Linked DNA regions of Macaca fascicularis. The protein of the gene in region 3 interacts with the protein of the main gene of each other region in a pairwise test. Links are inferred from orthologs where the notes say so. Each region holds a gene or a part of one and is shown on either strand. Other genes may lie near its edges.

What was found.
Region 1: the proteins of TRIM69 (region 3) and IYD interact in binary tests that used the Homo sapiens proteins (3 or more experiments, as listed by UniProt). The two-hybrid records come from large-scale screens. The link is inferred for Macaca fascicularis from reciprocal best matches to the Homo sapiens genes TRIM69 and IYD.
Region 2: the proteins of TRIM69 (region 3) and FKBP1B interact in binary tests that used the Homo sapiens proteins (3 or more experiments, as listed by UniProt). The two-hybrid records come from large-scale screens. The link is inferred for Macaca fascicularis from reciprocal best matches to the Homo sapiens genes TRIM69 and FKBP1B.

Annotation. Positions count from the first base shown.
Region 1 is NC_088378.1:58,537,439-58,541,187, reverse strand, and holds the start of IYD (iodotyrosine deiodinase 1), read right to left. Parts: upstream 2,337-3,749; 5' UTR 2,317-2,336; coding exon 2,139-2,316; intron 1,659-2,138; exon of another isoform or gene 713-1,658; coding exon of another isoform or gene 700-712; intron 1-699. UniProt on the Homo sapiens protein: Catalyzes the dehalogenation of halotyrosines such as 3-bromo-L-tyrosine, 3-chloro-L-tyrosine, 3-iodo-L-tyrosine and 3,5-diiodo-L-tyrosine.
Region 2 is NC_088387.1:98,225,311-98,229,059, reverse strand, and holds the start of FKBP1B (peptidyl-prolyl cis-trans isomerase FKBP1B), read left to right. Parts: upstream 1-969; 5' UTR 970-1,077; coding exon 1,078-1,114; intron 1,115-1,308; exon of another isoform or gene 1,309-1,583; intron 1,584-3,749. UniProt on the Homo sapiens protein: Has the potential to contribute to the immunosuppressive and toxic effects of FK506 and rapamycin. PPIases accelerate the folding of proteins. It catalyzes the cis-trans isomerization of proline imidic peptide bonds in oligopeptides.
Region 3 is NC_088381.1:21,340,617-21,344,365, reverse strand, and holds the start of TRIM69 (E3 ubiquitin-protein ligase TRIM69), read right to left. Parts: upstream 2,672-3,749; 5' UTR 2,563-2,671; intron 1-2,562.

The DNA.
Region 1 (3,749 bases), on a different chromosome or scaffold from region 3:
CCTACAGCCAGACTGCTTGGGTCCTGTCTCTGCAATCACCTTCCTGGGCTTACCCTATTGGAGCCTCAGTTTCCTTATCTATAATATGGGGATTCTAATAGCGCCTACCTATTAGAATCGTTGTACTGTCATGAAGATGAAACGATTTACTACACATAAAATGTGACTCTGATTGCATACAGTAAGTGCTATTAATATATAAGGGCTTGTTACTGTTATGATCCCAGAGCTCCCTTTCCCACAGCTTCTCCCTTTCTCTAGTACATTTCTCTTCCATAGTTCCTCTTAACTGCACGTGTCCCCCAAGTTCTATCTTCACCCTTCTCTCTAGCAATGCTCTCTTTGTGGATTCATTAGTTGCCCAGGTTCCAAGTATCTTCCCCATACTGGTGACTCTCCAGTCAGTATCTGTGGCCTGGGCCCCTAACCTAGACCGCTCTCTCTCTCCCTTTTCTGCTCAGGTGTGTCACTGTCATCTGAAATAAAACATGTCCTTGATGGAACTCAACATCTTCCCCTTTAAGCTGGATCCTCATTCCCTCACCCACTTATAATAGCTTCCAGCTTCCAAGTCTCCCTCTCTCTACCTTTTCCCAATACCCAGTTTATTAGCAAACCCTGTTGCTCTTCCATTAACTTCACTCTGATCCACCCCTTCCACTGCATTCCCACTGCCCCCACCATCCGGGCCATCCTTACCAGCACAAACCATTACCCAGCTTCACAGCAGATGTCCCCTGGATTAAAAGTGCTTCTCTGCTGGGTAGAACTGATGTTCTGAGTGGAAGAGCTTTCAATGTAGGAGAGCAAGAGGCAGCCCTGCTGAGGGGCTAGACTCCTGTGCAGTGCATTCAGGCTCCTAGCACTGAGGGCCAGCTGGACACCCTGTGCCCCAAAACTGAGATTAGGACACACACTCATGCACACATACTCTCACAAACACACGCATACACACACACACTCATGCATGCTCACACACATTAATGCAGGCACACATATACATGCACACGCACACTCACACTCATCCACACTCTCATGTACACACACTCACACATGCACATTAATGAACACTCACATGCACACTCACACACACACACACGCGCACACACATACACTCTTATGCACACACACACACACTACATGCACACATACATGCACATTCATGAACACACACACACTCACACACACTCACATGTCCAGATAGACTCTGTTTGGGGATAGGGGCATCATTAGCCCAGCTGAAGATCACAGAGCCTCTTCCAAATCAAACCCATCCCAGACAAAGCTTCTCAAACACTGATGGCTCAAGCCTCTTCCACAGTCTCTCTCTTCATACCTGCCTCCTTCATCACCTCTTCTTCTCAAGGTGGCCGTAACCCTCCCACCCTCAATTCTCTACTGCCATTCTTACCCCTTCCCTCCGCCCTCGATTCTCCACTTCCTCTCTTACCCCCACCCCAGGCCTCCCGGTGCTCCTGCTTCTTCTGCCCCTTGTTGCCTGACAGGCCTCCCAGCACTTGCTATTTGTACCCTATTCATCCTCCCAACCCAGTTTGTCCTTTCCCTGACTGCACTGTCAAACTCCCAGGCCTGCTCTAAACACCTTAGAATCAGTTCCACTGGGTCTGTCTCTTTGTTACTCTCTCTGATTCTCGTGTATCACCTTGGCAGCTGAATTGGACATTCAGTGTGTTGAGGACAAAGGCCACCCCAGTCCTTCATTTCCAGGGCCTGGCACAGGGAAAGGTGGCAGCCTCCTAGGTGATGACACTTGGTAGATTTCAAAGTTCCTAATCAAAACCTGGCCACTTAGACCCTGCCCACTGCCAGCCTGGGATGAATCCCTGCAGAAAGATTTTAACAACCAGAATGGAATTGGAGCCAGGGAAAACTTTAGCCTCTCAACAGTGTTTTCACTGAGTATCCAAAATAAAAAAGGGTTGGTCCCAGCAGGTGACAAGCTCATCACTGGAGATAGATGATCTGTCTGTGCCAGGCACTGATTCATTAGCAGAATAGAGGTTGATGCTAAAGCTGGCCTATGTGTGTTTATTCCTCTCCATAAGCCCTGCCATTGACTCACACTCATCATCAACACATACGACAGCGAAGCTAAGCAGCATAGCTGGTATATTTACCTTCTTCTGCTTGGTACAGGTCACTGCTGTCTTTTAAGTCTTCATCCACCCAGGGGCGAGCCTCGGCTATGGCTCTAGGCTCCCCCTTCTTTTTCTCCATGTGTCTATCAGCATTTTTAAAGATCCACACAACCAAAATGCAGAGAATGGCTACCAAGATGGGAGTCACGAAAAACATGGCCCGGAGTCTGATGCCACAAGCATGCACACTTCCTACACCGGTTTTAAAACACAGAGACAGGAGTGGAGAATGTCAGGAGATGGAAGGAATGCAGAGAGAGGTGTGCCAGGGAAGGAACAAAGTGCAGAACTCTTCAGCTCTATGAGGACTTTGCAAAGGAGCAAAGATCACAGTCACATGTGTGGGGTGTTGTTGTGGCTTTGGTCATGCACCAGTGCATTCACTTTTTAAAAGTATGTACTCTATCAATATATTCTTAGAAAACAATTGCCAGAATCTGAATAAGAACTTTCATGTGCTAGATCTAGCTAGATTACCTGAAGAACTTTTTTTTTTTTTTTAAATAGATTTCTGCACACCAACTCAGATCTGCTGGAAGAAAATGTTCAGGAAAGAGGTTTGGCACCATGCGTTTTAAATGGCATGCGTTTTAAATGGCATGTTTGTTTTGAATTTTTTTTTTAATGATACCCGAGTCAATATATAGAGTAAAGAGAATATCATGTTTTGCATCAGAGAAAGACTTTGATCCAGGAAAAGTGACACAAAAAATTAAAGTGACAACTTGATTATTTATGTGATAAATTCAGTAGGGCTTTTCATTTGTTTGTCTGTCTCTTTTAGCAAGTGCCTTAGTCAGTTATGGTTGAAATAACAAAAATACTATGGACCGGGTGGCTTAAACATTAGAAGTTTATTTCTCGGCCAGGTGTGGTGGCTCATGCCTATAATCCCAGCACTTTGGGAGACTGAGGGGGGTGGATCACTTGAGGTCAGGAGTTCGAGACCAGCCTGGCCAATATGATGAAACCCTATCTCTACTAAAAATACAAAAATTAGCTGGGCATGGTGGCACATGCCTGCAATCTCAGCTACTCAGGAGGCTGAGGCAGGAAAATAGATTGAACCAGGAGGCGGAGGTTGCAGTGAGCCGAGATTGTGCCATTGCACTCCAGCCTGGGCGACAAGACTGAAACTCCCTCACAAAAAAAAAAAAAAAAAGAAAGAAAGAAAGAAAGAAATTATTTATCATAGTTCTGGAGGTTGAGAATTCCAAAATTGAGGTGCTGGCAAGTCAGCTCCTAGTGAGGGCTCCCCTCCTGGTTTGCCAACAGGTACCTTCTTGCTGTAACCTCACATGGTGGATGGTGGAAATAGACCATCTCTCTCATCTTTTTTCTTATAAGACCACTAATCTCATTAATGAGGGCTCCACCCTCATCACCTGTTCACCTCCCAAAGCCTCAACCTCCAAATACCATTGTATTGGGAGTTAAGGCTCCAACATATGAATTTTGCAAGACATATTCAGTCTTTAGCATCAAGGCGCAAAAGTATGTATAACATGATGCCATTTGGATAAAACAGAGTGGAAAATATGATACATTTATACAAGCTTATATATGTATTTCCTGGAAGAGTATACTCTA
Region 2 (3,749 bases), on a different chromosome or scaffold from region 3:
AGGAACTCAAAGTAGAATTCATTTACATATTCATTCATTCATTCCACAGCACTAATCACTCCATGCGGTAACTCTGTGTCCCCATCTCTCTCAGATTTAGTACCTGGAAAACAGCCATTCTGTCTTAATTCAATTGGTATCCCCAGGGCGCATTTCTTTGCCTTGAAAATTGAGTACCCAATAAATGTGCGTCGAGCAAAACTACATGAGATGGCGAACAGGGGTTTAAGGGTATGGGGGAGAGTCAGCAATGACTGGTGTTCTCCCTCCCTCCCCGAGCTCTGCTCCTACAGATCCAGGACGCCTAGCGAGGGTAGGAACCTCTTCGGTGCTTCCGCAACGCTCTGAACAGCACGGCACTGAGCGCATCTAATTAAAGTGATGGTTTCATTAGATAGCAACTCAGCGAGACCCTGTTTCTACAAAAAATAAAAAATTAGCTGGGCGTGGTTGCTCGAGCCTCTAGTCCCAGCTACTTGGGAGACTGAGGCAGAAGGATCGCTTGAGCCTAAGAGTTCGAGGTTGCTGTGAGCTATGATCGCGCCACTGGGCTCCAGCCTGGGCGACAGAGCAAGATCCTCTCTCTAAAAAAAAAAAAAAAAAAAAAACAAAAATAAAATAATGGTTTAATTGCCGGCCTTTGCCCCTTCTGCCCCCCACCCCCCACAAGTCTGTAGGACCGGGTTGACTTCCCAGAGCTTAGTACAGATTAGATGCTAAATAAATGTGTGTTGGACGGATGGGCGAATGAATGGATGGATGGAGGATGTGGTTGTGCTTACCATGCTCCCCGGTCAGTGGGTTAATGTCGTCAGGCGGGGCCAGGCTCGCTAACAGCCGGGCGGGGTCCCTTCCCCCGGGCCCCGCCCCGGCCGACCCCACCTTTCCGCGCGGCTCCGCCCCGCCGCCCCCTTCCCAGTGGCCCCTCCCCGCGCAGGTCCCGACTCCAGCCGCACCTCCTCTGGCTCTGCAGTGGCGGCGGGGAGGCGAGCCGGAGCGACTGCGGGGCCGGGACCGGAGCAGAGCCGGGGTCGGGCAGCAGCAGGGACCCCCGGAGGCGGGGCCTGTGGGACCGCTATGGGCGTGGAGATCGAGACCATCTCCCCCGGAGACGGTACCGGGCTCCCTCCGGAGCCGGGGGAGGGGAGGGGTCCCCGGGCGGAGCCCGGAGGGCGGGGGTCTGATTCGGAGGTGGCGCGGAGGGTGCTGAAGGGTCGGGGGGCTGGATGGGGAGGGCAGGCGGAGACCCCGGACGGGATTCTTGGGGGTCTAGGAGACCATCCTCCACCATCCTCTTCCGCGACTCACCTAGGGGAATGTAGGTGGCAGCCTGGAGGCGGGGGTCTGCGGCCCGGAGCCGGGGGTCTGCGGCCCACCACCCCGGGCTGCTCCTGTCGCCGCTGCTACCGTTCGGTTATCCGCTGCTGCTGATACCCCAGGCTGGGTTTCGGCTTAGCTTTCCCTGCCCTGCTCGGCGAGCTCTGGAAAGCAGGACCTGCTCTCGGGTCTCCGCTGCTCCGGGACCTCCTCCTAGCGCGTCCCCCGCCGGGCCTCCTGTCGGTCGCTTCCCTGTGGGCCGGGCTGTGAGCGGCTGTGGGGACAGACCCAGGCTGGGAAAGGGGGAAGCGCTCCCTTGCCGGCTTCCGGATCTCGCTTTATCCTCCCGCCGCGTTCAGACTCCCTGGCCACCCTGTCCACTCCCATGGCCTCCACATTGAAGCTTCTAAGCCCAGCCCTGCGACCTGCGGCCGGACCTCTCCCTGGAGGTCCCAAGGTGCTCCCTAGTCAGCAAATCCAAAACAGAACTTGCGCTTCCCACCTTCTCCCCTAAGTGATCCTTCTCATCCCCCTTCCTTATCTCACTTTCCCAAGCCCTTGTATTACTGGGTCTGGGTGTGCAAGGAATAGCCATTTCTTTATTTCTTGAAATTTAATTCATACCAAAGCTCCCATTGTCTGCAGGGTTTGATGGGCAAACTTCATATCAGATATTATTAATATGAACAGCTCCCCTGCCCAGGAAATTGGAGAACTTCTTGGCTCCAGGCCATGCTCCTTGTCCAATCCCAACCACTACTTTGGATATCCCCTGGGGTACAGGATTCTTTGCCCACGCAGGAAACCTTGATGCTGGGTCCCAGAAAGCGTCTCCCTGAGGCCTTTTCATCCCCCAGCAGCCCCTGAGCTAATCTCCCCATCTTCAGCCTCTCCTCCCTGCCTTCAATCTCATCCCCAATCTCATATTCACTCCCTTTCTACATCATAGCCTGAAGACTCTTCTTAAAATGTGGTGGCTCATGCCTGTAATCCCACCACTTTGGGAGGCCGAGGCGGGTGGATCACAAGGTCAGGAGTTCAAGACCAGCCTGACCAACATGGTGAAACCCGTCTCTACTAAAAATACAAAAATTAGCTAGGCGTGGTGGTGCATGCCTGTAATCCCAGCTACTGGGGAGGCTGAGGCAGGAGAATGGCTTGAACCCAGGAGGCAGAGGTTGCAGTGAGCCGATTGTGCCACTGCACTCCAGCCTGGGTGACAGAGCGAGACTCGTCTCAAAAATAAGAAGAAGAAGAAGAAGAAGAAAACAAATGCATATTTGACCATGCCCCTCCCTCAGGTAGAAGATGTTTTAATGATTCTTCCCTCTCCCCCAGGCAGAGGGGCCTTTGGTGCTGTGGTCTATTCTCATCTTCCACACTAGAGCTTCATCTCTCACCACCTGTCCTGAGCCCACCACCAACTTTTTCTCCAGCTTTCCCAAGCTGCCTGCAAGTTGTTGAACACACCACTCATTCAGCAAATATTTATTGAACGTGTGTGCTAGGCCCTAAGGTGACAGCGTTGAAACAGACAGGGTCCCCGCTATTGCTGGACTGAAGGCCTTTGAACATGTTACATGTCATTCCCTCTTCCCAGATGGTGTTTTTTTACTTCCTCTGGCAAATTCTTACTTGTCTTTCAAGACCTGGCTTCGCCATTCTCTCCTCTATGATATTTTCCTTGACTTCTGCAGTCAGTTAGCTGCTCCCTCCTCCAGGCTCCCATAAAGTCCTCTAAATGTTGGCTCTGTGGTTAGCCTTCCTTAGGCTTTGTTATCTAGCCCCATAGCTTTAAATTCCAGCCAAATTTATATCTCCAGTGCAGACTCTTCATCTGCCTACTTGCAATATAAACTCAGATGTCTAATAGGCATCTCAAGATTGCCACCCGCACAAATCTGTTCCTCCCGTCTTCCCTATCTCAGGAAATAGTTCCACTATTCATCCAGTTGCCCAAACAGAAAACCCAAGCATCGTTCTTGTTGTCTCCTTTGTCCTCATCCTGGACCCCATTTCCAATTTGATTGCATGCCCTGTCAGCTCTGCTTCCAAAATATGTCTCCAGTCTATTTCACTCTCTTCTCTGCTGCCACCACCTTAAATCAAGCTATCATTGATTTCTTGTCTGGATTATTGCAACAGACGCCTTACTGTCCATCCTACACATAGCAGTCAGAGTGATGTTATAAAATCTTAATTCGGATTATGTCATTCTCTGGCTTAAAACCCTCCAGTGGTTTCCTATTGCACTTAGTATGAAATCCGGCTCTGCAAGCCCTGTATGATCCATCTCCTTCCCACCTCTGTCCTCCCTCCCTTCTTTCCACCTAACCTCCTTGCTCGCTGCAAATGGATTGATTCTGTGCACTTGTTACTCCTTCCCCAAGTGCTAATTCCCAGTATTTTGCTCATCCTTCAAGTCCTAGCTC
Region 3 (3,749 bases):
TGTGGCCACATTCTATAGAGTAGATGTGTTGTATACTAAGTTCAATCTCTGAGTATCCATCCACACAAACTTGACACTGAATATAATCACGTAGTATATGATAAAAAAAATTTTTTGCAAGGAATTATGGTGGGCAGTGTTGTTGTATATGCATCTCTGTCCCTCTTCAACCCCTCCTCAACAGTGTTCACCACACAACTGCCAGTTTGGTCTTGGAGTGACCTTGTGTTTGCTCTTGGCCTCCTCCTTTGTTCAATAATCACAACAGAGTCATGGTGAGTTAGGTCAATCACTACAGGTTCTAGAGATTCACAGGTGAGGTCAACTACTTCATTACTTTCCCCAAGTTCTATCAGTTCTGCATCCAAAGCTATGTTAGGAGTTGGGCCTCCTCTGGCTATAGGGAATGCTCAGGCTTGTCTGGAATTCACATGCTGTCACAGCTTATTATAGTATTCCATTGTGCTTTTTGGATTCAGTCTTAGGGAAGTAAGTGATCTATGCCAAGGTTTACTGCAAATATTAAAAGTCTTCAATGTCTCACTGCTGTTGTTCAGTCACTCTCTGATTTATAAGAATTTAGAGGTCAGATTTCCTGGCATATATGAACTCTTATTCTGGGTCCAGTCCTGTCTTCACCTCCACAACTGCTGTGCTCCCACAGGGAGTGGGTCTTCTGGGAGCCACCTGTAAGATAGTTCGATCTGAATTTTTAATGGAAAAAAAAATGAGAGAAAAATTAAGCTTTAGTAATGTCTAAATCAAGGTTGATAGTAGTATATGTATAAAATGTATAGCTATATGTAGAGAATGTATACCAAAAATTTTTTATAGTTATGCATTTGAACAAAATTTGGAGACCACTGCTGTTGAAACTGAGTGCCCCTCCCCATTCCATGACCTGATGATAGTGGGGAGGAGGAGTCCAAGGGGCACTTACATGAAGAGAAACACAGTATCATTAAACACTCAAGAAAGGGTTACTACTTCAATTAAGAGCTTTTTCTTTTCTTTTCTTTCCTTTTTTTTTTTTTTTTTTTGACAAACAGCCTCACTCTGTCACCCAGGCTGGAGTGCAGTGGCACAATCTTGGCTCACTGCAACCTCCGCCTCTCCGGGGTTCAAGCAATGTTCATTCCTCAGCCTCCTGTATAGCTGGAATTACAGGCGCATGCCACTACACCCGGCTAATTTTTTGTATTTTTAGTAGAGATGGGGTTTTGCCATGTTGGCCAGGCTGATATCAAACTCCTGACCTCAAGTGGTCTGCCTGCCTCGGCCTCACAACGTGCTGGGATTACATGCATGAGCCACTGTGCTTGGCCCACTCACTCATTTTTTATAAAGTAAAAATGGGAGACCAAAAAATCTCCTTACACACTCCTAACAGCAAATAAGAAATAAACCGTTTAGTCTACTTGCAGGTTCATCTTGCCCAGTGTTTTCTTTCTAACAGAGGCAACAAATGGAGTTCTGAAAAATTTATTCCAGATTGTCTTCTAGGAAAGAGAGGATGGAGTTCAAGCATTAGCCTTAGAGAGGCTTGGTTTGGGTCTAGGCTCTGTGACTTTTGGGCACGTGATCTAGAAGTTAAGATGTCAAAATCACAGCATGTAAATCTTTGTAAAAATTAATTAGCTTATAATTTTTAAATAATGCGTAATTAGCCATTAGGGAAATACAAATCAAAACCATAAAGATACCATTTCATATCCACTAGAATGGTTATAACAAAAAAGATAATAAGTGTTGGTGAGGATGTAGAAAAATTGGAACTCTCATACACAGTGGTACATTCAGCTTTGGAGAACAGTCTAGTAGTTCCTTAAAAGATTAAACATAGAGTTACCATATCACCCAGCAATTCCACTCCTACATATATACTCAACAGCATTGATGAAAACCTATGTCCACACCAAAAATGTATACATGAATATCGATAACCACATTTTATTCTCAAGAGCCAAAAAGTGGAAACAACCCAAATGCCCATTAACTAATGATGGATAAACAAAACTTAGTGTACCTATACAGTAGAGTATTTATTCATGAATAAAAAGGAGTGAAGAGCTGATCCTTGCTACAATATGATGATCTTTGAAAACAGAAGCCCGTTACAAAAGACCACATATTATATGTTGCTGTTTCTATGAAATACTAATAGGCAAACCCATAGAGACAGAAAGATTGGTGGTTTCCTAGGACTAGGGGTTTGGGAGAAATGGGAGTGGCACCTAACTGGTACAGAATTTATTTTGGGAGTGATGAAAATGTCCTAAAACTGAGGTGATGGTTACACAACCCTGTGAATATACTAAAACCCACTGAAATGTGCGTTTATATGTGCGTTTAAATGTTTTAATGTATGGTTTGTGAACTATATCTCAATAAACAAAGATGTAAGCTGCCAAAAATGTTACACAATACAATGGTACACGAACTGGATTTAGATCGGCAAACCCTAGAACCTAGTGAGGAAATGAGAAGCCCAGCAGGAAAACGGGTGGAGCCCAGAGAAGGGCTTAGGGCTCTGCGCTCCCCTGCATGCACCGGCCTACTTACCGAGGTGGTACTTCTCTTGGGCCCCACAGACACCTGCCTCTCCCCCGATCGCTATTCTCAACTATTTGCGTTTCGCGACCGGCCTGCCCCTCCTCTTTCCCGCTCTGCCTAGGAAAAAAGAGCCCTCGGAACGAAGCTGGGCAGCCCCAGAAAGCAGTGCCCATCACCTTCCAGCTCCATCCATGTACCCAGCAGCCCATCAATGACCTAGCTATGTTGTCTGTTCCACCCAGTCCTGCCCGGTAGTTATTCAGCAATGAGGGAGTACGAAGCGTGCGCTCCAGTAGTGTGCCACTTTCCCGGCCCTCCGTGGCTTCCCAGTCCTGGACAGAGACCCGAGCGAGCCGAACCCGGGTACCCGGCTACACTGGGCTGGGAAGGAGGACCGGGCAGCCACAGGCCAGGGAGGGCAGTTGGAGAGCGATAGAAGCAGAGGGAGCGGGAGGCAGAGGAGAAGGTACTCAACGATGGACGCGCCCAGGCTGGGCGGCGCCCACAGAGCAGAGCCAAGGTCACGAAGCAGAGCGTCACGGTGCAAACTCCCAGAACTGAATAGGCTAAAGCGCTAGCTTGTCACCCTTTTAATTCGCTTTTACAGTTTCCGAACTGCCCAATCAAAACCCGAGCCCAGGGTCGCTCGTCACCGGTCTCTGGACAAAAAGCGCTGTTTCAGATTAGAAATCAAGACTTTCCCGTCCTGGTTTCTCTTTCTTCAAAGCCAGCTGCTTTCCGAGAAAGGGTGAGGGTTGCTTCCTTCACCCCACCCCACGCAGTGATGAGATCAGCAACTTCTCACTCTATAGATGGGTGATTCTCTGGTTGTTCCAGTGAAGTCATTTGGAGTATTTATTAAGAGGCTGAGGGCCAGAGGTCGCAGTCTACATGCAAGCACACTTAATGTATAAAAAAGCAGCCGGGCGCGGTGGCTCACGCCTGTAATCCCAGCACTTTGAGAGACTGAGGCGGGCGGATCACTTGAGGTCAGGAGTTCGACATCAGCCTGGCCAACGTGGTGAAACCCTGTCTCTACTAAAAATACAAAAATCAGCCGGGCGTGCTGGCGCGTGTCTGTAATCCCAGCTACTCAGGAGGCTGAGGCAGGAGAATCGCTTGAACCCAGGAGGTGGAGGTTGCAGTGAACTGAGATCACACCACTTCACTCCAGCCTGGGCAACAGAGACTCCGTC